3 linked regions of the Arabidopsis thaliana genome follow. The protein of the gene in region 3 interacts with the protein of the main gene of each other region in a pairwise test. Each region holds a gene or a part of one and is shown on either strand. Other genes may lie near its edges. The genes, in order: PAP1, IAA9 and AT5G47790.

The links.
Region 1: the proteins of AT5G47790 (region 3) and PAP1 interact in binary tests that used the Arabidopsis thaliana proteins (3 or more experiments, as listed by UniProt).
Region 2: the proteins of AT5G47790 (region 3) and IAA9 interact in binary tests that used the Arabidopsis thaliana proteins (3 or more experiments, as listed by UniProt).

The regions. Positions count from the first base shown.
Region 1 is NC_003074.8:5,606,598-5,616,514, reverse strand, and holds PAP1 (phytochrome-associated protein 1), read left to right. Parts: upstream 1-1,711; 5' UTR 1,712-2,306; coding exon 2,307-2,599; intron 2,600-2,810; coding exon 2,811-3,091; intron 3,092-3,183; coding exon 3,184-3,316; intron 3,317-3,535; coding exon 3,536-3,603; coding exon of another isoform or gene 3,604-3,629; exon of another isoform or gene 3,630-3,679; coding exon 3,680-3,714; 3' UTR 3,715-4,312; downstream 4,313-9,917. UniProt on the Arabidopsis thaliana protein: Aux/IAA proteins are short-lived transcriptional factors that function as repressors of early auxin response genes at low auxin concentrations.
Region 2 is NC_003076.8:26,248,443-26,259,179, reverse strand, and holds IAA9 (indole-3-acetic acid inducible 9), read right to left. Parts: upstream 5,773-10,737; 5' UTR 5,289-5,772; intron 5,234-5,288; exon of another isoform or gene 5,045-5,233; intron 4,757-5,044; 5' UTR 4,718-4,756; coding exon 4,176-4,717; intron 4,081-4,175; coding exon 3,854-4,080; intron 3,742-3,853; coding exon 3,600-3,741; intron 3,447-3,599; coding exon 3,385-3,446; intron 3,090-3,384; coding exon 3,046-3,089; 3' UTR 2,636-3,045; downstream 1-2,635. UniProt on the Arabidopsis thaliana protein: Aux/IAA proteins are short-lived transcriptional factors that function as repressors of early auxin response genes at low auxin concentrations.
Region 3 is NC_003076.8:19,346,700-19,356,307, forward strand, and holds AT5G47790 (SMAD/FHA domain-containing protein), read left to right. Parts: upstream 1-4,592; 5' UTR 4,593-4,696; coding exon 4,697-5,052; intron 5,053-5,126; coding exon 5,127-5,880; 3' UTR 5,881-6,796; downstream 6,797-9,608. Other genes in the region: FPS1 (farnesyl diphosphate synthase 1), read left to right, coding at 1-57, 134-178, 262-351, 430-501, 588-716; GAUT4 (galacturonosyltransferase 4), read left to right, coding at 1,292-1,397, 1,476-1,510, 1,591-1,632, 1,721-1,790, 1,869-1,981, 2,082-2,356, 2,435-2,792, 2,877-3,452 and 1 more; AT5G47800 (Phototropic-responsive NPH3 family protein), read left to right, coding at 6,902-7,229, 7,461-7,530, 7,601-7,670, 7,752-8,897, 9,023-9,427. UniProt on the Arabidopsis thaliana protein: Inhibitor of protein-phosphatase 1 (PP1). Binds to and inhibits PP1 activity.

The sequences.
Region 1 (9,917 bases), on a different chromosome or scaffold from region 3:
AAAGGAGTACAATCAAATATGCAAGGCATGATTTTTTTTCATTCAACTCTAAGAAACTTGCATTATATATGTGATAAATTCACAAAACTACTAGTATTAGTAGTCAAAACTCAATAGTCAACCCATTTTTCCATAAAGGCATGAAGTTCATGAACATTGATGATCAACAATTGGGCTCATTTTCAGCGTGATTTTCATGGGCCAGTTATACTAGAGGATCAGTTCAGACCTTATCCATATTTGGATTATTTTTTCTTTTATTCCTCTTTTTATTTTGTTAAAATGATATCAATTTCTTACATATACTCCTTTTTTAGTTCACTAAAAAAATTAGTGAGTGGATAAAAATAATTTTATTTCTTGGTGAAAATTCTAGGAAGAGCATCATTGACACCACCACTATTCTCACTTGCTTTTCTTTATTTCCCTTGATATGACATTCAATTCACGAGTTGTTTTTTTGTTCCTTTTCTCCTGAGTCGGCTACTTTTTTAATCGGATGCTTTGCTTTGTACTCTTTTAATCACAGCCGTCACATTTGCTATATCTCTATTCACTTCTACGGCTTTGATTAAAGCCCAAATTTAAACCTTATCGTACGATCTCAAAATCTTGTGCAACTTCAACATGTGTCCACTGTCTAGTTTGTCTGTGCGGATCTAGTTAGTGCGGTTAAGTTAAACCGGAGAGGTTCAGGTTATGTTAACCATGGTTAAGGTTTTGTCTGACAGTGAGGGAAGAAAGTCACGGAGTTGGGTAAAACGGCGACAAGATATGACTAGAGACACACTCCTTCTTCAATTTCCTAAATTACCCTTCCTTACTTGACCGGAACTCTCACTCGAGATTTTTCTACGTCGGCTTTATCGTAATATCGGTGTCACACGTACGTGGGAGAGACATGTACATTCTTTTCCCCCTCCTGAAAAACCAAATAAAATAGCTTCAATCTTTGGTTGAAAAACTTGAAATATGTTCTTGATTTACGCTGCAAAATTATGTACATTTTTTAAGATCAAAGGACCAACTACAATTGTTTCTGCTAAAGTCTTTTCTTTTGTTATTTTTATCAAAATATGTTGATTTTGTAGATTTGAGAAAAGAAAATTTTTGATTAGGAAAAACAAACAAACAGTTGACTATTTACTTGGTTGGGGAAGCAAATTAAATTATACCATCGTAATCCACACGTACACATTGTTTTTAACTTTTGACAAAATAATTGTTTAGCTACCTAACAAATTGACATATTGTGTGGCAAATTTATAAATAAATAATTACATATATCTCACTGAGACGCCATGCAGATTCGTATGTTTATACAATGCCTCACCCATTTCTTGAATTCTCTCAATTGATCTTCCCATGATGTTCATTTATTATTTGCTTTATGTATATCTTTGTAGAATGGTAGTATTACTATTAAAGTATCAAATTACCATGACGACCTATAGAAAAATGTTTTTAGAAAAGCATAGGGATATGTGTCTTATGGACAGTGGATAAGAGAGTGGTCCTAAAAACAGACCATAAATTATGGGATCTTCCCTTAGTTCCTTTATTGTTATCATATTTTAATTACTCTTATTAGTATTTTTTTAATGGTCAAGTTGTTTATTGGAATTACGCATTTAATTATTTTTCTAATTCGTATACTTGTGAGAAACAGAACAGCACGCTTTGCTTCTTTTACTAGACAAACCCTTAATTAGCGATATTTGAGGCAGAAAAAAAGACAAGGTTGCGTGTGTTTTACTCCACAAAAGAACTCCTAAAACCAAAAACGTTAAAACCCACTTCTTTTTTTTCACAGTATTCTCTTTTCATGTCAAGAACAATTACTGTTTTTCTTGGTATGCAATCTGTAAATTTATTGTAGTTTTCATTTCTACTTTTGGGGTTTAGGAGTAAAAGTGGAGTCACTCTACTTTGCTTTACCTTTTTCTGAGTTTTTTTTTGTTCATACAAATCCAAATTTCCTTTTCTTTGTATTCCTATTTTTTCTCTTCTCGTCCCTTTCAGAATCTTTAGAGAGAGAGAACAACAAATTGAGAAAGAAAAAAAGGTAAGGCTGTGTGAGAGAGAACCCACCAAAGCGTGCACGAGAGAGAGAAAAAAAAAGCTTTGATTTTGTATAAAATCCCACCACTGCTCTCTTACCATACCTTCATTACACATCTCTCTTTCTCTCTCTCGCTCTCAGTTTTGTGGGATTGTTTCTTTAAAAGGGGTTCTTAGGGTTTAGTGAAGCTATAGATTTCAATTTCATACATAGTTAACGTATAGAAGGAATCTTGGGTTGATCAATGGAAGGTTGTCCAAGAAACAGAGAAATCGGTCCAAAACTTCTTGATTTGATTCCACAAGGAAGGAAATGGTACCAAGAAGACAAGAACAACACAGATCAGGAGAAGAAACTTGAGCTAAGGCTTGGACCACCCGGTGGTGATGAAGAAGATCATTCAGCAATCAAGAAGAAGAACACAGAGATAAGAAACATCAAGAAGGAAACAGAAGACAAATCTTTCCACTGTTTTAATGGCAATCACTTCTCTCCTTCCAACAAAACCACTTCTGTTCCTCACATCTCACAGAAAAGGTATAATCTCCTTTTTTTTCCTTCACTGTTATTTTTTCTTACTGCTTTGACAGAGGATATTCTCTTGAACATTAGGGACCCATCTTCTGCAATCTGTGTTTTTTTTTTTACCTTCACATGTTAAAAGTTTCAACATTTACTCTGTTTTGCTCTGTTTTTGTCGTTTGGTATTGACATATGTCTCTTGTTTCTTTTGATATCTGGTTCAAAGAACTGCTCCTGGTCCAGTGGTGGGTTGGCCTCCGGTTCGTTCGTTCAGAAAGAATCTAGCGAGCACAAGCTCTTCAAAGCTAGGTAACGAATCCTCTCATGGAGGTCAAATCAACAAGAGTGATGATGGTGAAAAACAAGTTGAAACCAAGAAGGAAGGAATGTTTGTCAAGATCAACATGGATGGTGTTCCTATTGGTCGTAAAGTTGATCTCAATGCTTACAACAGCTACGAACAGCTCTCTTTTGTCGTTGACAAACTCTTCAGAGGTCTACTCGCAGGTTAAATCTTAATCTCAAATTCTGTTTTTTAGTTCTTTAGGAGTGTTACTTGTGTTTACTGAGTATGATTTGTGTATGTTGTTGGTTTATAGCTCAAAGAGATATCTCTGATGGTCAAGGAGAAGAGAAACCTATCATTGGATTATTAGATGGGAAAGGAGAATTTACTTTAACCTATGAAGACAATGAAGGGGACAAGATGCTTGTTGGGGATGTTCCATGGCAGTAAGAATCTTTTCCCCTTTTGTTCTCTGAATCTGATTCAGTGTTTTGCAGAATTAGATTCTTGATCATATAACAACAAAAGTTCTCAGCTTTTAATCAATAGTAGTAGTAATTCAAATTGATAATTCTTTACCTAAAGAATAGAATTTTGCTTGGAGATTTGTTTATACCTCTTTTTTTGCATACTAACTGATCTTTAATCTTTGTTTTTAAACACAGAATGTTTGTTTCATCTGTGAAGAGACTGCGTGTGATTAAAAGCTCTGAGATTTCATCTGCCTTGACATGTAAGCTTCTGTTCTTATATGTTTAGATGATTTATTAGAGCTATATGATTAAAAGGGTTCCTCTGTATATTTGCAGTTGGATGCAGTAAGCAAGAGAAGATGATGCACTGAAGAGTCTTTTTAGAAACTTTTATTTCAGACAGAGAGTCTCAAAGCTTTATAAATGTACATCTGGTTTTTGTTATATATAAGAGTTAATCATTGGTTTTTTACTTTTTTTTTGGTCCAGAGAAACATTTGATCTGATCTGATATTCCCATGTCTTCAAGACACTAGACGATGAGATTACATAAGCAATCTGTGTTTATAAGCATTTTAATTAATTAAGGAGATAATTAGAACATACTGTAATAATTATCTCATGCATGTCTGCAAAACTCTTTTTGAAAAAAGAAGATGAAATTTTTATTCTCTGTAAAAGCTCTTTTAACTTTTGTTCCTTCCAACTTTGGCTATACCTTTAATCATGTAAAAAGCTGAGAATGAAAGGCCATTATTGTTGTTTTTGTTGTTGTCTTTTTTTTTCTTCTTGTTTTTACTATTTAACCTGAGTATGCATGTATATAAGAAGATAAGATTGGAAGTTGAAAACTCAAAAAAGACTTTTCAGAATGAGATCAGTCCATGTCGTGATAATTTTGGTGGCTATATCATCTCTTTTGTTCTTCTAGGTGCAGAATTTAGCAGCTTTTTATCCTGACTTTTTAAATCATACATACACATTGTAACTTATTGGACAGTGTCTTGGTGGATCGACTAAAACATCACTATAGATATGTTTAATTTAGCACATTGTTTTCGTGATAAATATATTCATACCACAAGCATCACTTGGCCGACTTGTATTCATCTTAAAAATTTTATTCGAAGTTGTCCTTCTCATTACCAGATGAGTGTTGTGGTTAAACAATATAACCATTGAAATTGATGCAGCCAAATAGTTTGATAATAACATTTTTTGGTAGCTAAATAATGGTATATGTTTTAACTTTTAACCAAACCAAAAAAGAAACATTTTCGAAACATATGTAAAGCGATAGCCGCAACATAATGAGTTGGAAAATTCCGTTGTTTCATTTGTTGCAAAATGTCGCACCAGTGCCGGCTCTAGGGGAGTGCTAGAGGAGCAAAAGCACAGGGTCCTCAATTTTTTTTTCAATTTTCTTTAAGGTTTTAGGGTCCAAAAATTACAGAAATTAAAAACCAATATTAACTAAAGTCAGTTTTTATAAATCAGCAAAAGGTCTTCAAAAAGTTTGAACCGGCCCTGCGCACCACTTATTATATTTTCATTGTTTGGAACCTAAAGATATATTTACATACTAACTTTTACCTTATTAAGCATATGCAAAAAATAATATAGCGCAACAACATGAGCAATTGACAATTCGTGGTGTCTTCTTATAAAGCAGTAGTGAGTGTATGGGTTAGAATTTGTGGTTGGGGTCTGGGGGAAAATACTGAATGGGACATGAAAAATAAATACGATAGAAACATTGAATTTTTTTTCAGAATAGTCATTTTCGTTGAGACATGCCTAACTCATAGCAAATGTGAGACTTATAACTCGTTCTTTAGATAAAGGAACCCATCATTTAATATACATGATTGTGATGGTTATCTCCACCACTGCAACAAAGAATTGAACTTTGAATACCTGTTTTTTTTGCTGATAAACAAATAAAAAAACTTAAAAATGTCGACGTAAACCTTCTAGTTTAGTTTCATCAGTTATTAATTGTCCATTGTGTTATTAGTGAATATCAGCAAATACACTGCGTAACGTTTCGGGTATCTTTATTCGGACTGTGTGCCATTTTACTCTTAAATGGGCCTTACATCAAGAATTTGGGTCCATGCTGGGTCGGTCGACACACTCCAAACAGTCACACATATATTAAAGTTTATAACCAAATCTTTGAAAATTTTGATTTTAAATGAATTGAACATATATGCAACGAATAGTACTTGTCAATAATTATTTTAGTCAACATTTAAATGCTATAAGGTAAGAATTGAACCACTTGATAATTTGGTACCACCTTTAAAAAATAATATCTTATTATATATAACCCTACATACTAATGTATCTCCTATTTGTAACACCTAAGAGCGCTGTATAAAATGGAAAATATTTCTCCGACATACTCTTTAAACGTAGAGAACACTAACGACTTTATCTTGTAAAACAGTAGGAATATTTGGCCCACATTAAGAAAAACAGTGAAAGGTTTCTTCAATATATTCATCTCTTACACTAGAGTCATGTCTACCTTACGTACAACTTTGAATATATATAGTGATAATGAGGTTGGTTCTTGTAGTGGAGTTTTATGGTAAATAGTACAATTTTTTGTTGTGGACAGTGGAGTAAGGTGGATAGGTTTATAAATTTCGTCGGTGATCCTTACACATTTATAATCTTTTCCATGCGTGTTTTGAAATCTTGCTCAACTAAAATTTGTATGTACTAGTTTATATAAAATGAAATAGATGATTATGGGTTTTGACTAGAGACAAGATTCTCCAATATAAAGAATTCATCAAGTGGAGGCGCCCATAACTGTTGAATATGTATATATATTTTTTTTAATTTTTTTTTGGTAAAATATGTATATATTTTTGTTTCTAAAGAATAATGAATTTGAGGGTTGAATCCTTCTACATGTCTATCCCACTTAGCTCTCCTATATGATGATCCCTTAGAAAGTTTTTAAATCGTGTGTCAAACAAATTCACGCTCCAAAATAATTCAAGTTAAATTGTAGAGACAACTTGACAAAAACGCCGATTTCTTTGAATGATAAAACGATCAAAATTTTAAAACGTAGAATTTTAATAAAAATGGATAAATCTATATAATTGTATGAAGAGAGTGATATATTTTTGTTATATCTAAGGAAAATAAATAGATAATACAACAGGAAAAATCCAAAACAAAAGAACACAGATACGGAGATCAGTCTTTCAACAAAGTAAGTTTATACAGTAGGTCATGATCTAACTATTTGAAAGATCTTTTATTAAAATGTGTGAAACGTACCAGCAATAAGACAATGATGAGTGTTCTTCTCGACACTCACGAGCCAAAGGGAACAAATCAGATGAATTCAAAACAGATCTAATATAAAAGAAATTGAATACATACAAAATCAAATACTTCCCTAACCAGCCTAATGCGTACGTAGGTATAAACATCTGAATTAAACTGAAAATATCATAAGGAGAAGATAGAACGAAAGAAAGAATTTAGCATTTTTTAGTTGTGATGGGCCTATCGTATTACTTGTGTGCTCATAATGTAAATGTATAATCATTGAGTTATATGAATAAATGTTTCTATGAGTAAAGTGTCCCTAAGCTATCGAGTGCTTCTAGAAACATCCCTTTGACATATAAACGCTTAATGACTTGTTCGTTTCATCGGTTAAACTTTTATTCATATGTTTCTATATGCTCCTTTCATTTTAAGTAGATATGGTTTGTGAAGGGTTGTATCGTAAATTTAAGCGAACAACAGAGAAATCTTTGAAAAAGAGACAAAACTTATGTCTTCTTATTGGTGTATCTACTTCTTGAGAACGAAGCAAGAGACAAAGTGAGTCTATTAGTTTTGGTAAGGAAGAGGAAAAGCCATAAGAAGCAGAGGTTCTTCAGAGATGGCCTGACGAAGATAACTTTAAAGAGTGCCAATTTCATAGAAGGGGTCTTATGGCACACAGGGTGAAGTCAGGCAAAAAGAAAAAAGGAAATAAAAGAAAGGCAAGGTAAATTTTTACAAATATATAAATAAGTTTTCAGTTAATTTAACACTGATTAGGATTACGATTTGAATAAGTTCTTCTTGTAATTCATGTAATAGCATATACAGTATATGGAAAGCTTGAAGCTCACTTCGATTATGTTCTTAAATGTTTAAATTCTTTCTCTCTCTCTCTCTATATATATATATATATATGAATTTGTAATATTCATAATGATCATTGAATTAATCTCAAATTTTTATGCAGTTTTAGACAAGGTCTTTTACCCATTTTATAAAGTTACGTTGTTTTATCACGTCTGTTGAATTGATGAATCGAGCTATCATGTTCATGATCATGTTCGGTGTCGAATGTGTGTTTTCATTTGAAGCTATCGAAAAGAAAAAAAAACAGACATCATAATTAAACTTCTTATAGTATAGACAAATATGTGTGAGACATGATCAAATGAATTGAGTTTGATATTTTGTTTTTGGTAAATGAGTTGGATATAAACCAGCTAGAAACTTACTTAAACACTTATTTACAGTGATTAAAACATTTAAAAGAGACCTGAACATACTCCATGCAAAATTACAAACAGTAGTAGGAAATCAAGAATCTTCACGTATATATGATTAACTAATGGTAAACGCAGTAAGATAATTTGCCTAATGTAATCAAATTTTAAAGTCTTTGCAACGTAAGTCCGTGCGTCCCATTGAACAAACTCATCTCCCATTTTGAAATTGTTGGGCCGTGGCGGGACAACTCAATATTGGTTTAAACGTGTAGAATGGTTTTAAAATATGTATAGGTTTGTCAAATTAAATGATGAGCTAGAAATTGCGTTAGATGACAACAAATCTTCCAAATATATCTTAATTAGTCTGTTCGTTCCATAAGTCATATGGCTTGTTTGATCTTTATGTTGCATCCCGGCTGAATGATTTTATAAAATTACGTCGATATTTCTATATAGTATAGATGCTGTAAGATACATTTCTATTTCTCTCTGAAGAAATCTTTAGCATTACCACTGCTTATCTTTATTCGTTGATCACTATCAAATGAAATGTGAATAATTCGTCATCCTCTCTTTGAAACAAAGAGCGTTTATAATGCTTGAAACAAAATTTTGTCTTCTCAATTTTAAACCTTACAATGATAGTACCTTTCAAAGTGGGTTGAAACATGTTGTAGACATTTTTATTTATGTGGCTTAAAGACCATGCAGACAATTGTTTGAAAAAGAACACAAGAACATACATTTGCAGATTTAAATCTATGGGAACTAACTCCAACGCAAACCAAAATAAAATCAAACCAAACCGATCTATAACTTCGGTTAGATGTGAGCTTCATTTGTACTAAAACAAAATCAACCATACTGACCCAAACCCAATAAAATAAAATAAAACTAAATGTCCATTCCTAATTTTATATTCAGCGATTGGATCTGTCATCTGTACGAGAACAACTCATTGTCCCCAAAATAAGATCCCAAAAGCTTTTTGTTCGCATGCCAAATGCATTTTAAATTTTCAATAATTATAATAAATTTTGGGTTAAGAGATTTATCATCCAAAGACTCTTGCTAACCAAAAAAGGATTATCATCACTAATTTACGTCTCATCGTTAGTATCATCTACTCTGTTAGAACCAAAAATATAGTCTTGTCACAAATCTAGGTATTCCATAGTAGAATTTTCCTGACAATGTAAAAGGTAAAATACATTTTGCTTGCTGCGGTAAATATTTTTGTTTGTCACGATGATCGAAGTTATTGGTCAATTTTTACCGGATGTATGTATATATATTTTGCAACCGTGAAATTTCCATAACGACTATAGAATCTAAAATTAGTATGACTTCCCAAAACCATATAAATCACACCCAAAAAAGTACAAAGAAAAACGTTAAAAGGTACATTGTTTCACAAAGTTAACTTCATTTCTCGAGGTAGACAAAACCCAATGCTACTACCTTCTTTGATTGGTAACAGAAACTCATCATTAAGACATAAAGTTTCAACTTTTTGTTATAGTTTCCAGTTTCACATTTGTTCCTCACCAAGCCACACTCCGACATGAGCATAAACCTTAGCTATAATGATGGGAACAACTTAGTCAACGTTTCGTCAACCACGACCGTAAAAATATATAGTTTGGTTTTGCATTTATATGATATATCAATCCATTTGAAACCAGACTATATTTTAGAAACAGCTAATAAGTCAAGATAATCAATGTCATTAGCGTAATGCACGCTTCATACTAAATAAAAACGGATTAATTTGTGATTGTTTCAAAATTCATTAGATCTTCTTACCTTAAGAAAAAATTTCTATTTTGGTTAGCATTTAAATTTATACTATATATTTTAAAATAAATGGGATTATGGGTTGAGGAAGGGAAATGGGATAATTAAATTTATTAATAACGGGAATTACGAGAAGGGTATCTCTAAAACCGAGTAAGAACACAATGCTCCATAAAGACATATTTTTAATTACTCAATAACAAATTGCTAAAGGCAGAGAGACACACCACTTTTGAATCTTTGAAGGT
Region 2 (10,737 bases), 6.9 Mb from region 3:
ATGATGCCATTGGTGTTCCTACTGGTTTGGCGTTAATCATGTTGTAGCGTTGAAGTAGATCAAGAATGTACTTTCGCTGCGAAAGATGTAAGCCCTTAGACGTCCGATGATCTTCTAGACCAAGAAAATAGTTGAGATCTTCAGGGTCTTTGATGGAGAAGCGAGCTGCGAGTGCATCAAGAACTTGTTGAATGCTTCCTTTGTGACTACCCATGATTAGTATATCGTCGACATACACCAATAGATAGACAAATTATTTGCCACGTTGCAGAATAAACAGAGAAGTGTCAGCCAACGAGTTTTGAAATCCCAAGGTGAGGAGATAAGTCTTCAATTCCGTATACCAAGCACGCGGAGCCTGTTTTAACCCGTAAATCGCTTTACGTAGTCGACAAACGAATGATGGATTGTCGGGATCAATAAACCCAGGAGGTTGCTCCATGTAAACTTCTTCTTTCAAGGTGCCTTGAAGAAAGGCGTTGTTGACGTCTAATTGTCGGATTGGCCACGATCGGGTTACCGCAACATCAAGAACAAGACGTAAGGTGGTCGACTTGATCACAGGACTGAAAGTGTCTGTATAATCACGGCCAAGTTGTTGATTATACCCTTTTGCCACAAACCTTGATTTGCACCTGCCAAGAGAACCATTAGGGAGAAATTTGTTTTTAAATACCCATTTACAACCAACAATGTTCTTATTAGGCTCTTGATACCATGTTAAGAATGTAATGACTTATATTATACGAATAGCTTTACACAAGTATATATACAAGTACAGAGGAGGCTACACTAGGGTTGTACAAATATAGAATGTTCCATAAAGGAGATAGAGGAATATTATGATATTAAAGAGAGATGATCCTATGTATCCTTAACAAATCTAGTTTAGTTGGATTTGATTTAACATTTGAAAAACTTGTATACCAACTTAATTCGAAAACTGTATGGAAGATTTTGAATGTCCTAACACAATCACAATTATTGTATATATATACTTGGTCTGTCCGGACAAAACTGCTAATCAAACCTTTCAAAGAAAAAAAGGAAAAACCAAAAAAAAAAGAACTTAACTAAACAATAAATCAATAATAATGCTGATACGATATATTTTGTCCATATATATGAGATCGTAAATCTCTCCCATGACTGATAACTGATAAGAAATCTATGGATACCATCAATTCGGTGGGTTTGTTGAAGGTCTACCAAATCGAAGAAACACACATTCATTCTCGTAATCGTACGTATATTCATTTATCTAGCTTCTTTTATTTGAATTTTTACGCAATATGCAATTCGATTCGTAGACTCAGTTGAATATAATTGACCTAATACCTAATGCTTATAACTAAATATTATAGATACTATTCTTGAATGCAACATTGAGATGATCAAATCATTTACATTTACAATCTTATTTTTCTCGTTTGATGAAGAAATAATTTTGGGGAACAACCATATATAGATGAGTGATAAAGGTATTGCCACGTTCCATTACTGAGAAGCATAATTCAATTCATATCTTTTGGAGACAAATTCGACATGTCATTCCCTAAGTCTATTTCATATATTTAATTTTAAAAACATTGAATATTACTATATAGTTTATCAACTTATATGGATGTATATAGTATGTCCCATTCGAATAAGTGCATCAAAGCGAAACGAATTAAATGAGATTCACGACCAATGATTGTTGTTTATGTGTATACTATTAAGTTCACGTGAAGCTAGCTACAAGAATCACAGATATATACTACATTATTTGGATTAAAGTTTTAAAGTAACAAGAGTGATTTAAATTCGACCCGTAGGTTCTCTTAAACTATGAGAGTACTATATGAGTCTTTAATTATCTTGATCGAATATATGCCTTGGAATTGATTAATTAACGCCTCTTTGAAAAATTGGACAGTTGAATATAACATTTCATTTTAGGTGGGGTTTAATCATATTGTTTTGTCAACGCTAACGGAATTATTAAAAATGAACAATAAATGATATCACAAAAATAATTTTCATAAAACAAATAAGCAAACCACCATTGCCAAACCCAAAGAGGCGCACTATGCTTCCACCTTCAGGAACAGAAAAATAATAAACGTTCCTTGAATGAGAAATGGGAAATTAGTATATGGGAATTTATGTTCATGTATCTTTGACTATTTTTCTCTCAAACGATATTATTCGATACTATTAAACTATAGTTATTCACTAAATCTAAAACTGATTCGTTGAAATTTATGATATCTTCGTTTGGGGATTGTACTATATAGTTATCATGAGTTTGTACGCAGCCCATGCTTGCTAAGGTAAACAAAGTTTCATGGAAGGTTAAAAAGTGAAATAATGATATCAAAACCTTTTCCCGGCGAAATTACTTTTATTTATCTTTGATTTGTCTTGTAGCTTTTGGTTCTTCAGGTGAATTATTCAAGTTGGTTTAAAGATCCGTTGGTGGCAATGATTTGGTAGCACAGTTTAGTTATGACAGTTATAAAAAGATTTTTTTTTCTTTCTGATTAATCTTGATATTCCATTTAGAATAGAGTCATAGACATTGAGAAAAACGTAGGTTTACCACTTCCGCATTCAAATGTGTTAGAATTTAACAATCCACCTCAAAGATTTAAGTACTGATTAATATTTAAGATTGTTTTGCAAATGCAGAAGAAGAACCTCCATGTTCAATGATAGAAAGCCAAATCGTAAAACCGGATTGTCTATCTTCTCTTCTCGAGAAGAAGCAAAGAAGAGAATAACAAAAACGTTACATCAAATAATATCTCAAAGGTAGAAGTCAACCACACATCCAAATCAAACACAAAACATAAAACAACGACCAGTTTACTGACTAAAGCAACAAACAAACAACAAAAATAGATCATTTTTAATTCTTCTTCATTTCCTTACATTCGTAGTCTTACTTACTTCATTTTAAAAATTCAGAAACTAAAGATATTGATGTTTTGAAATTTAAAAACACCACCAAAAGATCGCACATATTTTGTATAGTTAGAAAGCTTTGTCATGTTCCATCTTTTAAGCTCTCATCTTCGATTTCTCCATTGCTCTCGGAGCTGCAGCTGCAATATCACCAGTTCACCACATTGAATCATTAAGACATTTTGAATCAGAGAAGACGAGTGATCAAACATGAATTGAAATCAGTTTAATTTCGATTTTATTTACATGTTAATTTGTTGTATTTACTCCCAAAAGAAGACGAGTGATCAAACATGAATTGAAATTTCTAAATCAGCTACAAGTAACTCACACCAACAAACCACTAATCTCATCATACACACTACTTGTAATCGGTTTTAGTAGAGATAGTAGTTTACGTTGTAGCTTAGGAGCAGAGAGAAGAATAGACTTTACCTAACCCAATAGCATCACACCCTTTCATTATCTTCAGCTTCTTGCAGACATCAATAAACATCCTGTAATATACATCGGATCAGAAATCACTCATGAGCGCTTATACCAATCACCATGATATAATCTTCTATGGCATGTTAGATTTGATTCTAAGATATCTGGCAGAGAGTAGAGAAAGCTTCTAACAAGTTTTGAATATAAGAGAGGAAACTTACTCCCACGGAACATCTCCAACAAGCATCCAGTCACCATCCTTATCCTCATAAGTGAGCACATAGTCTTTTCCATTCAAAAGATCCTTGAGCTTGGTCTCACTAAGCATATCCTTCCCAGCAGCTCCATTAGATCCACATTGACCTAAACATCAAATAAACAGTGCAGGTTAACTACTTTGACTGCACTCATTCATTGATCCTTAAATAGAAAGAGGTTTTCAAACACATCACTAGCAATCACTGAAACATCTCACCAAGAGTGAAAGTGGTGAACATTTTCTCCAAGGCTGAAGAAAGCTCCCCGTAGTTAGTGTAGCTCCTCAGGTCAACTTTCCTCAGATAAGGAGCACCATCCATACTGACCTTCACGAAGAGAGCCCCAGAACCTGGCCTCCCATCAACTTCGTCACTGTTCTTACAAGTAGTGGCCAATGTGTTCTTCCTGTAGGATCTCACTGGAGGCCAACCGACAATTTGTGCCCTGAAAATTCCAGAATCCGAAAAAACACCAGTTAGCTAGCTGTTGAAAGTAATCCATATCAAAATCGAACGAATGCTCCTATCTTCTATTCATACTTGGCTGCAGGTGGACTAGAGCTATTGTTTGTAGTGCTAGACTGTCCTTTGGGTATGTTTTGTGGCACATCTTTCTTTGTTACAGACTGGGTGGCTGCTGCTTCAGGGAACATCCAGTTTTTCTCAGTATACACTGAACTTTTAGCTTCAGCAAACTGATCCATTGTGTCAGAAAAGCCTCTTTTGTTTCCCGATGCATTGTTCTTTTGCGAGGAGGAGCATATCTCATCTTTAGAAGGAAGCAAAGGAAAGAATGGCTTCTCATCTAGCTTTGCTGGGCTCAAAAGGTTAAGCTCTGTGTCTCTCGCAGGAGATTGTGATCCAGGAAGACCAAGTGTCAGCTCCGTAGCCTTGAGGCTGATAGTAGCTTTGTCATCTTCAGCAAGGGGAGAGAGAGTAGAGCTTCCAACAGAAGAACAATCAGAGAGACCCAAGTAGTTATGCTCTTTAAGTCCTCCTAGAGTGTTCCTGGAGATGCAATTGCTAGTAGGTGAAGAACTAGCCACCGATACATTGCTCTGTAGCTCCTCTTCCGGGGACATTGGATACTCAAGGTTTCTTTAACTGCAAAGCTGCTTTACCTGATGATTTACACAGCACAAAGTCCTCCACATTAAATTCACATAACCATAAACAAATCCTCAAACAAAACCCTAAATTACCAGAAAAAATCAAGAACTCAATTTCAATCAAAATTCGAAGAAACTCGAAACCGTATCAATTAGGGTTTCAAAAGTAGATTGCATCTATGAAAAACTCACAACCAAAATTTAGAGCAAAATAAAGCTCAATCTGAGAAAAAAATGGAAAGCTAAAAATAAATAGAAGTCAACTTAAGGTCAGATGAAGAAACTACACCGTTGAGTTACATTTTTCGAGCTGATCTCAGATTTGAATTTCCACAGAATTCTATCTACAAATCACTAAACCTAGCAAGGTTTAAGCCAACAGCTCAAACAAACCAAAATTCGCCATAGAAATAGTGAGGAAATCAGCAAAGAAACTCAATAGCTAATAGATCTAATAACTACTAACTACACACACAAACAACAACAAGCTAAAAATTACCGGATTTGAAACTATGTATAAGAAGAACAGAGAAGACATAATTACCTCAAACGGAAAAAACAAATCCTGGATGAAAAATGGAAGCTCACAACGAAGAAGAAGAAGACGATCAAAAATAAGAGAGTCTGAGATATTTTGGAGAAGAAGAGTATAATTTTTAAGAAACTGTAGAAGATGAATAGCAAAGAGAAAGAGAGAGAGAAGTGTCAAGGTCCTTCCATTAAAGCAGAAAAAAGCTTAATTATCATTACCCAGAAACTCGTAGCCGAGATTAAAATTAAAATAACTAAACAAAGTGGTAGAATAGAAAATAAGTGGAAAAAGTTGCGTATTTTTATTTACGAATGGATTCTAATCCAACGGCTCAGATTTGATCGTGCTGATAATTCTAAACCGTCGGATTTAAATCAGCAGATATGAACCGTTGATGTACAAATGTCGGGAGTCGGATCTTTAAACAAAATTATGCCACTTTTCTGGCTCCACCCGAAAGGGGATGGTTGTCTGCAAATATTAAATTCCGATTCTATCCTTTTGTTTTTAATGACTAATGTAACCTCTATGTGATGATAATGTGATTGAGGAATGAAGGGTAAAATGGTAAAGAGAGAAAAAGAGGAGTGAGGAGGGGACAAGAAAGCGGCATTCCAAGTCGGTTTGCCGGGTGGTGAATGGGACATCTAACCTCTTCCACTTTCTTCCTTTCTCTCTCTATCTCTACTTTATTAATCTAAAATTAATTAAGACTTGTTAATCTTTTTTTATAATCACTTTCTTTCTTTCGGATTAAATTTAATTAAATTCCGCCACCTTCCTAATTTCTTTAACTTTCATTATTACGTTTCCTTATCTTTCAATTTTTTTTACTTAGATTGGCCCAACTGGATGGGGCCCATTGAGAAATGTTAGTCCCCCCAAACTTGAATTTTTCATTTTGCTTTTTTTTTTTGGTTTGGCATTCATTGTAGTCTTCTAGATAGATGAATGGGTAAATAGTATAAGTAACTTTAATAATGACTATAGATTAATCTTTTTCATAAGGTTACGTCACGTGCTAGATTTTTGTTTTTTATTTTTGTTGAATTTGCACTTAAATAAGTAAACTGATTGAAACAAAATTATAGTCATGACAAAAATTAGATACATACAAGTTTGTCCGAATTGAGTTTAAAAAAAAAATCTCATTTTTTGAAAGTATAATTTGTGGTGTTATTGTTAGAAGTACAAAATTTGAATGTGAACAACATACATATTTCTGGAGTATTAAATATGTCTGAATTGCACTGTTACGATCATCATACACAACGTTTAATCCATAGTAATAAGGATGATTGGTTAAAAAGTAAAAAAGTAAATTCGTTGGTAATAAACAGGTAAATTATGTATGTTAATTTTTATAGTCGGTTACATTCTTTTCGTGTTAAAAAGAAAAAAAGAAAAAAATTATAGTCGGGTGTAATATACATAAAAAAAATTACTGTAAAAAATTCAAAGTAATTAAAAAAGGAAGGTAATGGGAATTGGGGAAAGGGGAGCATAATAATAACAAAAGGGGTGAAATGGGATTGAAGAACACGCATGGGAAGCACAAAATATCTCAATCTGACCGTAGGATTTGATGGTAAGAGAGTAAGAGAGGCCTGTGTCCGTTCATCATCATCATGACCTTCTCTGACTCTTTTTTTTTCATCATCACTCTTCCGTACCACTCACGTTATCTCTTTTTTACCCCTCTCTATTCTTTTTAACCTTTTTTCTTTCCTTTTACCAAAGATTTAAAGACGATTAATCAAAAAAAAAAGTCTTTAACACCTTATGCACAAAGAGGAAAGTAAAAGAAAAATATTCACCGTCCAGAATAATAATACGGCATTTCTTAACCTTCCCCGTAAAAAGTTTTGATTTTCTCTTTCTCATATTTTGTTTAATCGTCTGTATAATAAGTAAAGGATATTAATTATTTCAAATTACTACAACTACCATCAGACATTATATTTAAAATTATGAGTACATGAAAATATGTGTCTAATTAAAAAGTGATTGGTAAAAAACAATAATAGTAATACAGATAAATTATTACAAAAATGCAAAAGTAAACAGTAGATCAGATTAGCAGCATTTGCGAGTACAAATAATGCGGGTTGAGACAAGACAATGAGACCCGTAGTGCTTTTGTCCTTCACGCTTATTTTATTAGTCTTTGATTGATGATGGATTCACTAAAGTTAATTAATCTTTTTCCCCGTAATTAATTAATTTATAATTAGAGTGGAGGAAATCAAACGACAAGACACGTTAGACTGTTTACTTTGGGCCCAGACTTTGCACTCTAGTATATAAAAATTCATTTATAATTGGGCTTTTATTTCATATTATAACATAGGCCCATAAGCCACTATCCTTCTTGATGGGCCATAATATACTTACCTCTCTCGTATTAAGGATTTGTTGAATTTATAATCTACGTGTTGACCCCAAAAAAAATGTAATGTACGTAAGATATTTCTTCGTTTAGTCAGTCATGTTGCTGTCAACGTTTTTATAATTCTTTGTATCACAATTTTTTCAATTTTTTTTTAACTAGAAATACACAAAAACAACTAATTATTTATTGCAAATTGTTATATGTTTTATATGTCTCAATATAGGGTCAAACGACGAGCTACTAAATCGGATTTGCACAACAAAATAATATAATTAATTTTATCGAGTTCGTAATAGGACAATGTACCGAGCCGTGATCATCAATATACGAGAGAGCCATTAAAATATATTTGACCGAAAATCAAATACACCTTCGAGTTTTCACATAAAACCTCCGTCAGATATTTCATCCCTCGCAATAAATTACTACATAAAGATAACATTTTAAATTACATGTATATCTAGCTGTATATGAATTAGATATAAGAAAAAGAAAAAAACGGTTTCTTTTTCTTTCTATGTATAACACCTGTATTTGTACATATCGCTTAGGGTCTTAGTCTATATCAACATGGTCCCATACAGCTTAGTTTTTGCTTGTGGAACAGGTTTGGATTTTTCTACAACATAAGAGCTTATATTATAAATGCATATTAAGTCAATTTCTCTGTTTAATCAAATCTTTTTGGTTCTAGAATTGATGTCACCGAATCGCTATGTATCTTTGATTAGATTGGAGAAAAGACAGATTTGCGTCACTCTCAAAACAAACCCAACAACATGCTGCATACCTCATTGAAATCGTTATTAGTAGATAATAATTTGTAAGTTCATTTTTTGGACTAATTAAAAAGTTTAATGTTATTATGTTAGATATATATTATAATGGTTATTAACAACGTTTTAAGCAAACACACAAGTTGTGATATAAAAAGTGTAGGATCGTGGGGTTTAGGGTTTACAATTATAATGGTTAAAACACGTTTTATAGAATTTTTTGTTATTGATAGAAAAAAAAAAGTGATATAAAAAAGTGTAAGATGGGTTTAGTGGATATACTCATTGACCCTAAAAGAAACGGCGGTGACAAATTCAAGACCCATTCACAGTTCACACTTCGCACACACATAGATATAGATATTTTTATTGTGATTACAAGTTAAAATAGCAAGTCTACTTCCTAATAGAAATTCCTTGTATTTCATTTTAGAAATTTGAAACCAATTTTCTATAAACTCAATTGTACAGTATATGAAAGTAAGCACAATTTAAAAAGAAAAACTGAAAATAATTGTGCTTACTTTATTTTAGTTTTCGTCAATAACAGTGTTTATAGATGTTTGCATATGAAAGATCGTATCTAATCTTACTAAGAAACTTATAAATCTCAAAGATAATTGTTATCTTGTGTCAAATTTCGAAGAGGAACTAGAGCATTACATGGTGTGAATGTGTAATAAACTAACCATGCTCTTATTGCAGAGAAATCTATTCTTTATTGAACAAACTGGAACGTTTACAACATTTAAACATATAAAGAGACATGTAGATTCCAAAGGAACAAGTACAAGATATACATGAATCTAATAATATACATTATAGAGATCGATTATTCATTATTATCCAAAAACGCTGTTTTCAAGATGGACGGATGGAGTTAAAACCAATATCTGTGTACATAGAGGAATAATCTGATCAAGCATTAACACAATTAACTCGTAAAGCACCATTTTGAATAAGGCCGCCCAACTTATGTCATAATCTACCTCAACATGTGTTTTTTTTGTTAGTGAACCTAAACATGTGTCATCCTAGAATAGAAGATTGGATTAGCACAAAGATAACTAGCTTATACATAATCAACTTGTCGCAATATATAAATGAGTGAAGCATATGCGGAAACCGAGCTTAGACATATGGGATGATGATAACCACTAAACAAGTTAATGTAACACTATCCTACTATCCTTACACTTTTATGTCTAAATGAAATCTGTTTTAAAAAAAAAAAAAAAACAGAAACAAATGTTCCTATTAAGAAAATAATAAATAAATATATAAATTTGGAATAACTGATTTTTGGCGGTATGTATAATTAAAACTGCAAAGACAAAATACAGCTATACCTAAAATTATAAGTCAGGATCGAAGTAAGAGGTTTGTCAAATTCGAATTCCACACGGCAGCTACTCTTTTGTTTTTCATTAGATCTTGTAGCAGCCGTAAAATCTAACTTAATATTGACTTTAATAGTCTATATATGGGTTACTGATACTGTCCCATGTGACAAAATTTAATTATTCTTATATTATCATTTCCTGGTATCTTCAACGATCAAACATGTTACGTTTATTTATTAACAAATACAAACACGTCAAACATTATATAAAAAAATAGGAAACAGAGTATTCCCATATCAATCTTATCATCGATATCTGTACTTTCAATCGTGAAGTCGTTTAAGATTTATGGACCAATATTTGTCCCTTAGGAACTCAAAAGGCCAAAGGTCCAAACCCGAAAACGCTCAGGTCCATTTTCGTAATTTCATATCAAGTGTGGTAGTTTTGAGTCGCAAAGGTTTTTATTTATTACTTATATAAAGTATCAAACCCATATTTCTAGTAGATGTTTTTAATTAAATTGACAACTTAGAGAAAGAAAAAGTTGATACGCATTGCCGGCAAAAGTCCCAAACTTTTGACGTAAATATGTTTCATAGTCATCCGGAAAATTAGAGTTTTTGGCCTTTTTGCCAAGTTAAAGATTTTACCCTATAATATGGATTTTGTCGGATCAAAGTAAATACTGTTTTTTTTTTTTGGATTTGCTTGTATTCCGGGTTTTATGTTATAGCGACCAAGTGGATAATGTATGAATGAACCACGTCTCAACAACATCTTAATCACTAAGTATGTGATTAGTATATCTTGTCTCTGATTATCACAATTAAACCTTGTCGATCGTTTTCAATCAAAATTAATGCATATGACGAAATTTTTGTTGAAAATTTTCAAAATCACGAAATTAAATTAAATTGGTGATGAGAAGCTCAAGGTTGGAAATAAAG
Region 3 (9,608 bases):
AACCATATTGATGTGAAGAATGTTCTTGTTGACATGGGAATCTACTTCCAAGTGCAGGTAGATTGCTGTTAAGTATTCATGAGAGCTATATGATAGGTAGTGTTGGGATGTTGATAACCATTCTTTTGTGTAGGATGATTATCTGGATTGTTTTGCTGATCCCGAGACGCTTGGCAAGGTTTCACTCGTGCTAACACTTGGTTTCTCAGGCTGATGTGAATGTATTCACTTGGTTCAGCATATTGGTTTTTTATAATGCAGATAGGAACAGATATAGAAGATTTCAAATGCTCGTGGTTGGTGGTTAAGGCATTAGAGCGCTGCAGCGAAGAACAAACTAAGATATTATATGTAAGAACCATATCATCTTGATCAAAAAGGTTTGTATCCTGTTTGGAACCTGAAACATGTTTTGTTCTGATTTACTAGGAGAACTATGGTAAACCCGACCCATCGAACGTTGCTAAAGTGAAGGATCTCTACAAAGAGCTGGATCTTGAGGTTTGTAGCGAACCTCAGAGATATGATGTTGTAATACACAACTAACATTTTTGCTAATTGGACATGGTTTGATCTGAACATGATAGGGAGTTTTCATGGAGTATGAGAGCAAAAGCTACGAGAAGCTGACTGGAGCGATTGAGGGACACCAAAGTAAAGCAATCCAAGCAGTGCTAAAATCCTTCTTGGCTAAGATCTACAAGAGGCAGAAGTAGTAGAGACAGACAAACATAAGTCTCAGCCCTCAAAAATTTCCTGTTATGTCTTTGATTCTTGGTTGGTGATTTGTGTAATTCTGTTAAGTGCTCTGATTTTCAGGGGGAATAATAAACCTGCCTCACTTTTATTCTTGTGTTACAATTGTATTTGTTTCATGACTATGATCTTCTTCTTTCATCAGTTATATGAATTTGAGATTCTTGTTGGTTGATGCCTGTGACTACATACATAATATTGACCAACAGAAGAAGATAACTCGATACATACATTGATTTTATAACACTGAGATTTAAGCAACTCTTCTTCTTCTCTAATGCCTACATTCCATTCCAAAGGCAAGAAAATAAAGCTTCAAGCGCAGGCCTCGACACGTCACCTTGTCGCTTAATTTAATACAACAACTAGAGTTTATTTATAAATAATGGCTGTGAAGGGTAAAAGCGTCTTATCCTCAACGACCACCATCATCATCCAGCTAGCAGCAATTGGTTTTTCACTCACACACTAGAAACAAGAAAAAGAAAGATGGGAGATTTAATGGCTCGGTCTCTCTCTTGATCTGACGACGACGATGATGGTGAAGCTTCGCAATCTTGTTCTTTTCTTCATGCTCCTCACCGTCGTTGCTCATATCCTTCTCTACACCGATCCCGCTGCCTCCTTCAAGACCCCCTTTTGTCAGTAGTTCTCTCTCTCTTTCTCAATTCTCCGATTTGAAATTTGCTTCTTATCATCTTCTTTGTTTCGTTCTGTAGCTAAACGCGATTTCCTCGAGGACGTAACCGCCTTGGTCCGTATCTTCTTCCCTCTATCTCTCTCTCTCTTTTGATCTTCCCTTCCATTGCGTCACATTGTGTGTTTCCTTTTCAGACTTTCAATTCCGATGAGAATCGTTTGAATCTTCTTCCTCGGGTACCTTTTCTTTTTCCAGTTACTTATTGATTCGCCTCACTCAGATCTTAGCTCGTTTCTTCACTTTCTTCTTCACATTCATCTTTAGGAATCTCCCGCTGTGCTCAGAGGAGGACTCGTCGGTGCTGTCTATTCCGATAAGAATTCACGGCGGCTAGGTAACTTCAATTCTCTCACTCGCCTCTCTCTGTGATGTCTTCCTTACTTGACTTGATTATTTTTTTTAACATTCTCAGACCAATTGTCTGCTCGAGTTCTTTCCGCCACCGACGATGATACTCACTCACATACTGACATTTCCATCAAACAAGTCACTCATGATGCAGCCTCAGACTCGCATATTAATAGGGTACGTGTTTTCCGGAGAATCAGATTGGATATTCCCTAAGTTGATTGGCTCCAGATTTGAATTTGATGCTTGGTAATAGTATATATTTGGATCCTTGTAGGAAAATATGCATGTTCAATTGACCCAACAAACCTCTGAAAAAGTTGATGAGCAACCAGAGCCTAATGCTTTTGGAGCTAAGAAAGATACTGGAAACGTGTTGATGCCTGATGCTCAAGTGAGGCATCTTAAAGATCAGCTTATTAGGGCAAAGGTTTATCTTTCCCTTCCATCTGCAAAGGCCAATGCTCATTTTGTGAGAGAGCTTCGACTCCGTATTAAAGAAGTTCAACGGGCACTTGCAGATGCCTCCAAGGATTCGGATCTGCCAAAGACGTAAGTGTTTCTCACCTCTTGAAATATATGTTTCTTCCTCTTTAACTGATATTTCTCTGCCATTTTTTTGAACCCCAGTGCTATAGAAAAGCTAAAAGCAATGGAGCAAACACTGGCCAAAGGCAAGCAGATCCAAGATGACTGTTCTACAGTGGTCAAGAAGCTACGTGCTATGCTCCACTCCGCAGATGAGCAGCTACGGGTCCATAAGAAGCAAACCATGTTTTTGACTCAATTGACTGCTAAGACCATTCCTAAAGGACTTCACTGCCTTCCTCTGCGCCTCACTACAGACTATTATGCTTTAAATTCATCTGAACAACAATTTCCAAATCAGGAGAAACTAGAAGATACTCAGCTGTATCACTATGCCCTTTTCTCTGATAATGTTTTGGCTACGTCAGTTGTTGTTAACTCTACCATAACCAATGCAAAGGTAAGAATTAACTTTCTTCTTTTGTTTGAACATGTAACTGTGTTTCTTTCTGTTAAACTTACGGTCTTAATGGTTTATTGGCAGCATCCCTTAAAGCATGTCTTCCACATCGTCACAGACAGACTCAATTATGCGGCAATGAGGATGTGGTTCCTGGACAATCCACCTGGCAAAGCCACCATCCAGGTTCAGAATGTTGAAGAATTTACATGGCTGAATTCAAGCTACAGTCCCGTTCTCAAACAGCTTAGTTCTAGATCGATGATAGATTATTACTTCAGAGCCCACCATACAAATTCAGACACCAACTTGAAGTTCCGGAATCCAAAATACTTATCGATCCTTAATCATCTTCGTTTTTACTTGCCTGAGATCTTTCCCAAGCTCAGCAAAGTGCTCTTCTTGGATGATGATATAGTTGTGCAGAAGGACCTTTCTGGTCTTTGGTCAGTTGATCTGAAAGGTAATGTTAACGGTGCTGTAGAGACGTGTGGGGAAAGCTTTCATCGCTTTGACCGTTATCTGAACTTCTCAAATCCACTCATTTCCAAGAACTTTGACCCTCGAGCTTGTGGTTGGGCGTATGGTATGAATGTCTTTGATCTGGATGAATGGAAGAGGCAAAACATCACAGAAGTTTATCATCGATGGCAGGATCTGGTATGCAGAAAATATATATATGCTAGGTCGCATCTGTTTTGATTTCAAGAATGTTTGCTAATCATATACACGAACGATTTTAAACTGCAGAATCAAGACCGAGAATTGTGGAAGCTAGGGACGTTGCCGCCTGGTCTAATCACATTTTGGAGACGAACATATCCGCTAGACCGGAAATGGCACATACTAGGGCTTGGATACAACCCGAGTGTGAACCAAAGGGATATTGAGAGGGCAGCCGTGATACACTATAATGGCAACCTCAAACCATGGCTAGAGATTGGGATTCCAAGATACAGAGGCTTCTGGTCAAAGCATGTAGACTATGAGCACGTTTATCTCAGAGAATGCAACATCAATCCTTAGAATTAGAGTCTGTTGTGAGGGCAATATTATACGTTTATAATCTGACGAGATGATCATTACATGAAATTGTATATGTCACGGTAAAAGGAGTTCCAATAGGCACGACCGATGTTATTATTGCAACATATATATCAACAAGAGGAATGACAACGAAACAATGAAACAACTACTTTTCGTATTCCTTTTTGTCGCTGTTTATGTAAAGCAAGTGACAATTGACATAGGTCTATAGGAGACTTTAGACTTTAATCAAATTTGCCAAAGAGCAATACAACATAAATAGTCAAGCCGATTATCGAACCAGAGTAGCATGAATATTAGCCCAGTGAAGACGAAAAGAGATTCGAATCGGAATTACGTGAATGTGATTTCGAATGACTCTGACAATACGTTTTGACTTGTGTAGTTTATTGTATATTCAGTTTAACTCTGTCACCCGCCGTGTTCAACCTTGCTGGTTCAGAGTTCCACAGGTAAGTTTTTCATAATTTTCTCACGCTGCAGTCCACTTGAGTAGTACTCTAACACAATGTTACAGGTTGGTATGGTTGCCATCAACGATGGGATTCTACTTCGTAATCACATCCACAGGATTCTCAAAGCATTTCCGTGAAAAGCCTTACTATCTTGACCTAGTTGATTTGTTAGGATATGAAATTCACTGATCCATAAAAAAAAACATAGGGGTACGTTTAGAAGAATACATAAAGTATAGGGACTGAAGCTGCAAATTTATGTTCTCAGTAGATGTTCGATCTTTGGACAGAATTGAAGAAAGGAGAAACCCTAGACTGAGTCTGGTTACTTGAAGGGGATCATGTGAATACGTCGACTGGTAAAGAAAGAAAGATTGCTGCTTTTTAGATTTAGATTCGAGAATGTATGGAAGATCTGGTCTTGACAGGTTTAAGAAGTCCCAAACTTCGGAACCCTTCTCTGTATCAGCAAATCCTCCTCCGGTGGTACAACAACATCTGTCTCCGGAGGCATTGTCGGGGCAAAAAACTCAGATTGGAGCTGGTCAATCAAACTGGCATCCCCCTGATTGGGCGATTGAGCCTCGTGCCGGTGTCTACTCTCTGGAAGTTGTGAAAGACGGCCAGATCCTTGATCGGATTCATCTAGATAGACGAAGGCATATCTTCGGGAGACAACATCAGACTTGTGATTTTGTCCTTGATCATCAGTCTGTTTCCCGCCAGCATGCCGCAGTTGTTCCTCACAAGAATGGCAGGTTTGTCATCGCTACTCAATTCTCTCATCACAGCTTTGGCCACTGTTGACATGAGTCTTTTTTATTTTTTGTAGCATCTTTGTGATTGACTTGGGATCAGCTCATGGTACGTTTGTTGCAAATGAGAGGTTGACTAAAGATACTCCTGTAGAGCTTGAAGTGGGTCAATCCTTACGATTTGCTGCCTCCACAAGAATCTACCTTCTGAGAAAGAACAGTGAGGCTCTCTTTTCTCGCCCTCCACCTCCAGCTGAGATTAAGCTTCCTCCACCTCCTGATGCTTCTGATGAGGAAGCTGTTGTTGCTTACAATACCTTGCTGAATCGATATGGTTTAAGCAATGGAGAATCTGGTGGTATGTTAGGGAAAAGGAAAGAGAAGACCGGATCAGAAGCGGGAGTGGCTAAGAGGATGAAGAAAGTGAGAGTGAGCTTCAGGGATCAACTAGGAGGAGAGCTGGCTGAGATTGTTGGCATGTCTGATGGAGCAGACGTGGAAACAGAGCCTGGTCCTATAAATGTCAAAGAAGGAAGCCTCGTTGGGAAATATGAATCACTGGTGCGAGTGACACTCATACCCAAAGGCAAAGTGAAGGAAGAGAAAGCCTTTACAGGAGGAACAAGAGGAGGTGTAACAGATCGACTCCAGGAAGCTATGAATATGTTGAAACGGGGTCCAAAAACAGGGATTTACGATGACCTTTACGGTGGTGACTCACTTGCCAAGGCTGTTGGTACGTCATGGGCTTCTGTGAGTCAACCAGCAGCTGAAACTGAATGTGGAGGGGTTGGTGAAGAAGATGATAACGACGATCTGTTTGGTGACTAACTGATTTTGAACACTGAGATTCCTTTAAGTAACTCTTCTTCTTCTCTAATGCCTACATTCCATTCCAAAGGCATTGGTATGTTGTTTCCTCTTTGTCTATCCAATGGCTGCAGCAAGAAAAGAGAGCAGCTCTAAGCCCAGGCCCATTGTCTTGTGTTATAAGTAAGAACCCTGAAATTTGATATGAGCTTGAGCCTGGTCAGTGGTCATTCTAGTTGTGGGTCTTAACAGGAGATGCATTACATAGATAGTCATTACAAATAGTGTGGAGAGTAGAGAGTAGGGCCAATGCAAATGGAGTGCATTTGATTAGACCACTACTGACTTACAGATTCTCTCCTCAAGGCAGACCAATTCCATCAGAAGAGGACATTTGTACTCAAATACCTCTCCTCTCATTCTTTTTCACTTTTGCCTTTTTGCATTATTAAAACAGCACACTAATGATGTGGGTTGACTTCCCTCTCCCCCACAAAAACAGAGATTCCATGGGGGGAAATGGACAACAAGTAAAACACTTGTAAAAATGGTAATCTGCCTCTGATGCTTTAAGATATGATTTGGGGATCAATGCATCTTTGCTTTGGGATTTGCTTTGTGACAGTTAGTATAAAGAAGAGAGAAGCTGAATGTGCTGCAACCAAATTAAAACTCTCTTTTGAGTTAAGCCTATATCCAACTCCTACTCTTCCTAGTGTGGTCCATTGTATTTATCATAAGAGTAAACTCGCTTGTAATAAATTATAGTAGGGAAAGGTGGAAGACCCACTTTTGTTTCTCACTTTCTTTCTGTTTGGTGAGAAGTTGTTTTCCTTATGCAAAAGATGGAATGCATGAAGGACACTTGTGTCTGGCTTTTTATTTATTTTGGTTGTGGATACTTTCATGATATACTTTACGACCTCAACCCTTTAATACCACACAATCTACCTCCATTCATCTTTTCTCTTCTCTTAATTTTCACCTTATCTCCCAACGAGACCATAGAGGAGTTACTGACTCCAACTTATAGCTACTAGCTATGCTGCGTAACTCTCTTAAACACTACCTTGGCACCTATGACAAATATGTTAGTGAGCCAACTTTTCTGGCTTTGATTTTCAAACCAAACAAGTATGAAGGAAATACATATCAGACACCATTTGGAGACTTGAGTCCATGCGGGGAGCAACAAGTGACGAGGCCGGGACCCTTGTTGCCATTCAACTCTCTCTCTCTCTTGGGATTTAATTTCACTAACACTTTATGTCAATTTGATCATTACCACTTTCACATCTCTCTCTCTTCTCCTTCTTCTTCTTCTTCTTCTTCCTCCCTCATATCAACCTTTGAGCACACCAGTTTTCATGGTAAAATCAATCATCCTTTTGCTTTATCTTTTTCGTTTTTTTTTCTCTCTCTTTTGGTTTTCAGAATTGTATCATAAACAGACTACATGTGAGTTTGTATCATTTAGGAATACATATAATAAAATTTCAGCTTCATCAATATGTAATTATCTTCCTGTGTCTTTCCCACTTTTACCTAAAGATTTGATCACTTTCTCATCATATGTATATATATATTCCTCTTGAACGCAGAGAAGTCTAGGATGAAGTTCATGAAAATCGGAACAAAGCCTGACACTTTCTACACTCAAGAGGCTTCAAGGTTGTTCCTTGATCTCTTTGCCTCTAAATTTCCCAAATTCCATTTCTCTGACAAAATTTTTACACTGCAGGATTTTGATAACAGACACACCTAACGATCTTGTTATTAGAATCAACAACACCACTTATCATCTCCACAGGGTATATATCTCGATTGACTCTCTTATCATAGCAGCACACACATATATGTATGTTAATAGTGGTTTCCATCTTTGTCTGCAGTCTTGTCTTGTTCCAAAATGTGGGCTGTTGCGAAGGCTTTGCACTGATTTAGAGGAGTCTGATACTGTTACCATAGAGCTGAATGACATACCTGGTGGAGCCGATGCTTTTGAGTTGTGTGCTAAGTTCTGCTATGATATCACAATCAACCTCAGTGCTCATAACCTTGTGAATGCTCTCTGTGCCTCCAAGTTTCTTCGGATGTCTGATTCCGTTGACAAGGGAAATCTGTTACCAAAGCTTGAAGCTTTTTTCCACTCCTGCATTCTCCAAGGCTGGAAGGACTCCATTGTCACTTTGCAGTCCACTACCAAATTGCCAGAATGGTGTGAAAATCTTGGAATCGTCAGAAAGTGTATAGATTCAATTGTGGAGAAGATCCTCACTCCAACTTCAGAGGTCTCCTGGTCTCATACATACACCAGACCAGGCTACGCGAAGAGACAGCATCACTCTGTTCCAAGAGACTGGTGGACGGAAGACATATCAGACCTCGACTTGGACTTATTCCGCTGTGTCATCACAGCAGCCAGGTCAACCTTCACGTTGCCACCTCAGCTCATTGGTGAAGCTTTGCATGTCTACACTTGCCGTTGGTTACCATACTTCAAATCAAACAGCCATTCAGGTTTCTCAGTTAAAGAAAACGAAGCAGCACTGGAAAGGCATCGGCGTCTTGTTAACACAGTTGTGAATATGATTCCTGCAGATAAAGGGTCGGTTTCTGAGGGTTTTCTGCTGAGACTTGTTAGCATAGCGAGTTATGTGAGAGCATCTCTCACAACAAAGACTGAGTTGATTAGAAAATCTAGTCTGCAACTCGAGGAGGCAACTCTTGAAGACCTCTTGTTGCCTTCACACTCATCCTCTCATCTCCATCGCTACGATACCGACTTGGTTGCTACAGTTCTTGAGAGTTTTTTAATGCTCTGGAGAAGACAGTCTTCTGCGCATCTTTCTAGTAACAACACTCAATTGCTGCATTCAATCAGGAAGGTGGCAAAGCTTATTGACTCCTATCTTCAGGCAGTCGCACAAGATGTCCATATGCCAGTTTCCAAATTTGTGTCTCTTTCTGAGGCAGTGCCCGACATTGCACGCCAGAGCCATGACAGACTTTACAAAGCGATCAACATATTTCTCAAGGTATCAGATGCTCTGGCCTGCTCAAGGGCAACTAGCTATGGTTGAGAGTCTCACCAACCTACTTTCAGAAATCATACATTTTGCATACAGTACTTGAAACTGATAAAACATTTGTAACATGGCAGGTGCATCCCGAGATAAGCAAAGAAGAGAAAAAACGACTATGCAGAAGTCTTGACTGCCAGAAATTGTCTGCACAAGTACGTGCACACGCTGTGAAAAATGAGAGGATGCCATTAAGAACGGTCGTCCAAGCACTCTTCTTCGACCAAGAGAGCGGTTCCAAGGGAGCATCAAGTCGATCAGAGAGCCAAGAACTCTTCACAAGAGGTAAAGAGACACCCACTGATGAACATAGCATGATGCACAAGCTTCACCTAGGTCCAGCTTCTACAGGGAAAGCTAAGAACGTGCTTGAAGAGGGATGCAAAAGAGGAGAAGAGAAAACCAGATCCAGTACAGATCCTAAGAAGATAGTGTGGAAAGGAACAGGGTCAGAACATAAGCATCATATAAGTAGAGACAGGTAGTGGGGACTATACGTCTTAGGCCACAGAGATTCAGTTTCTTGTTTGCACTCGCCAGATTTCTGGTTCTTTTATTTTTCTTTCTAAAAAGAATTGATGATGATTGTAGATGGTTAATGTAAACCCAGTGGCACGATCTGTATTAATACAATGCAGAGCTCAAGCTCCTGCTCAACCACTCTCT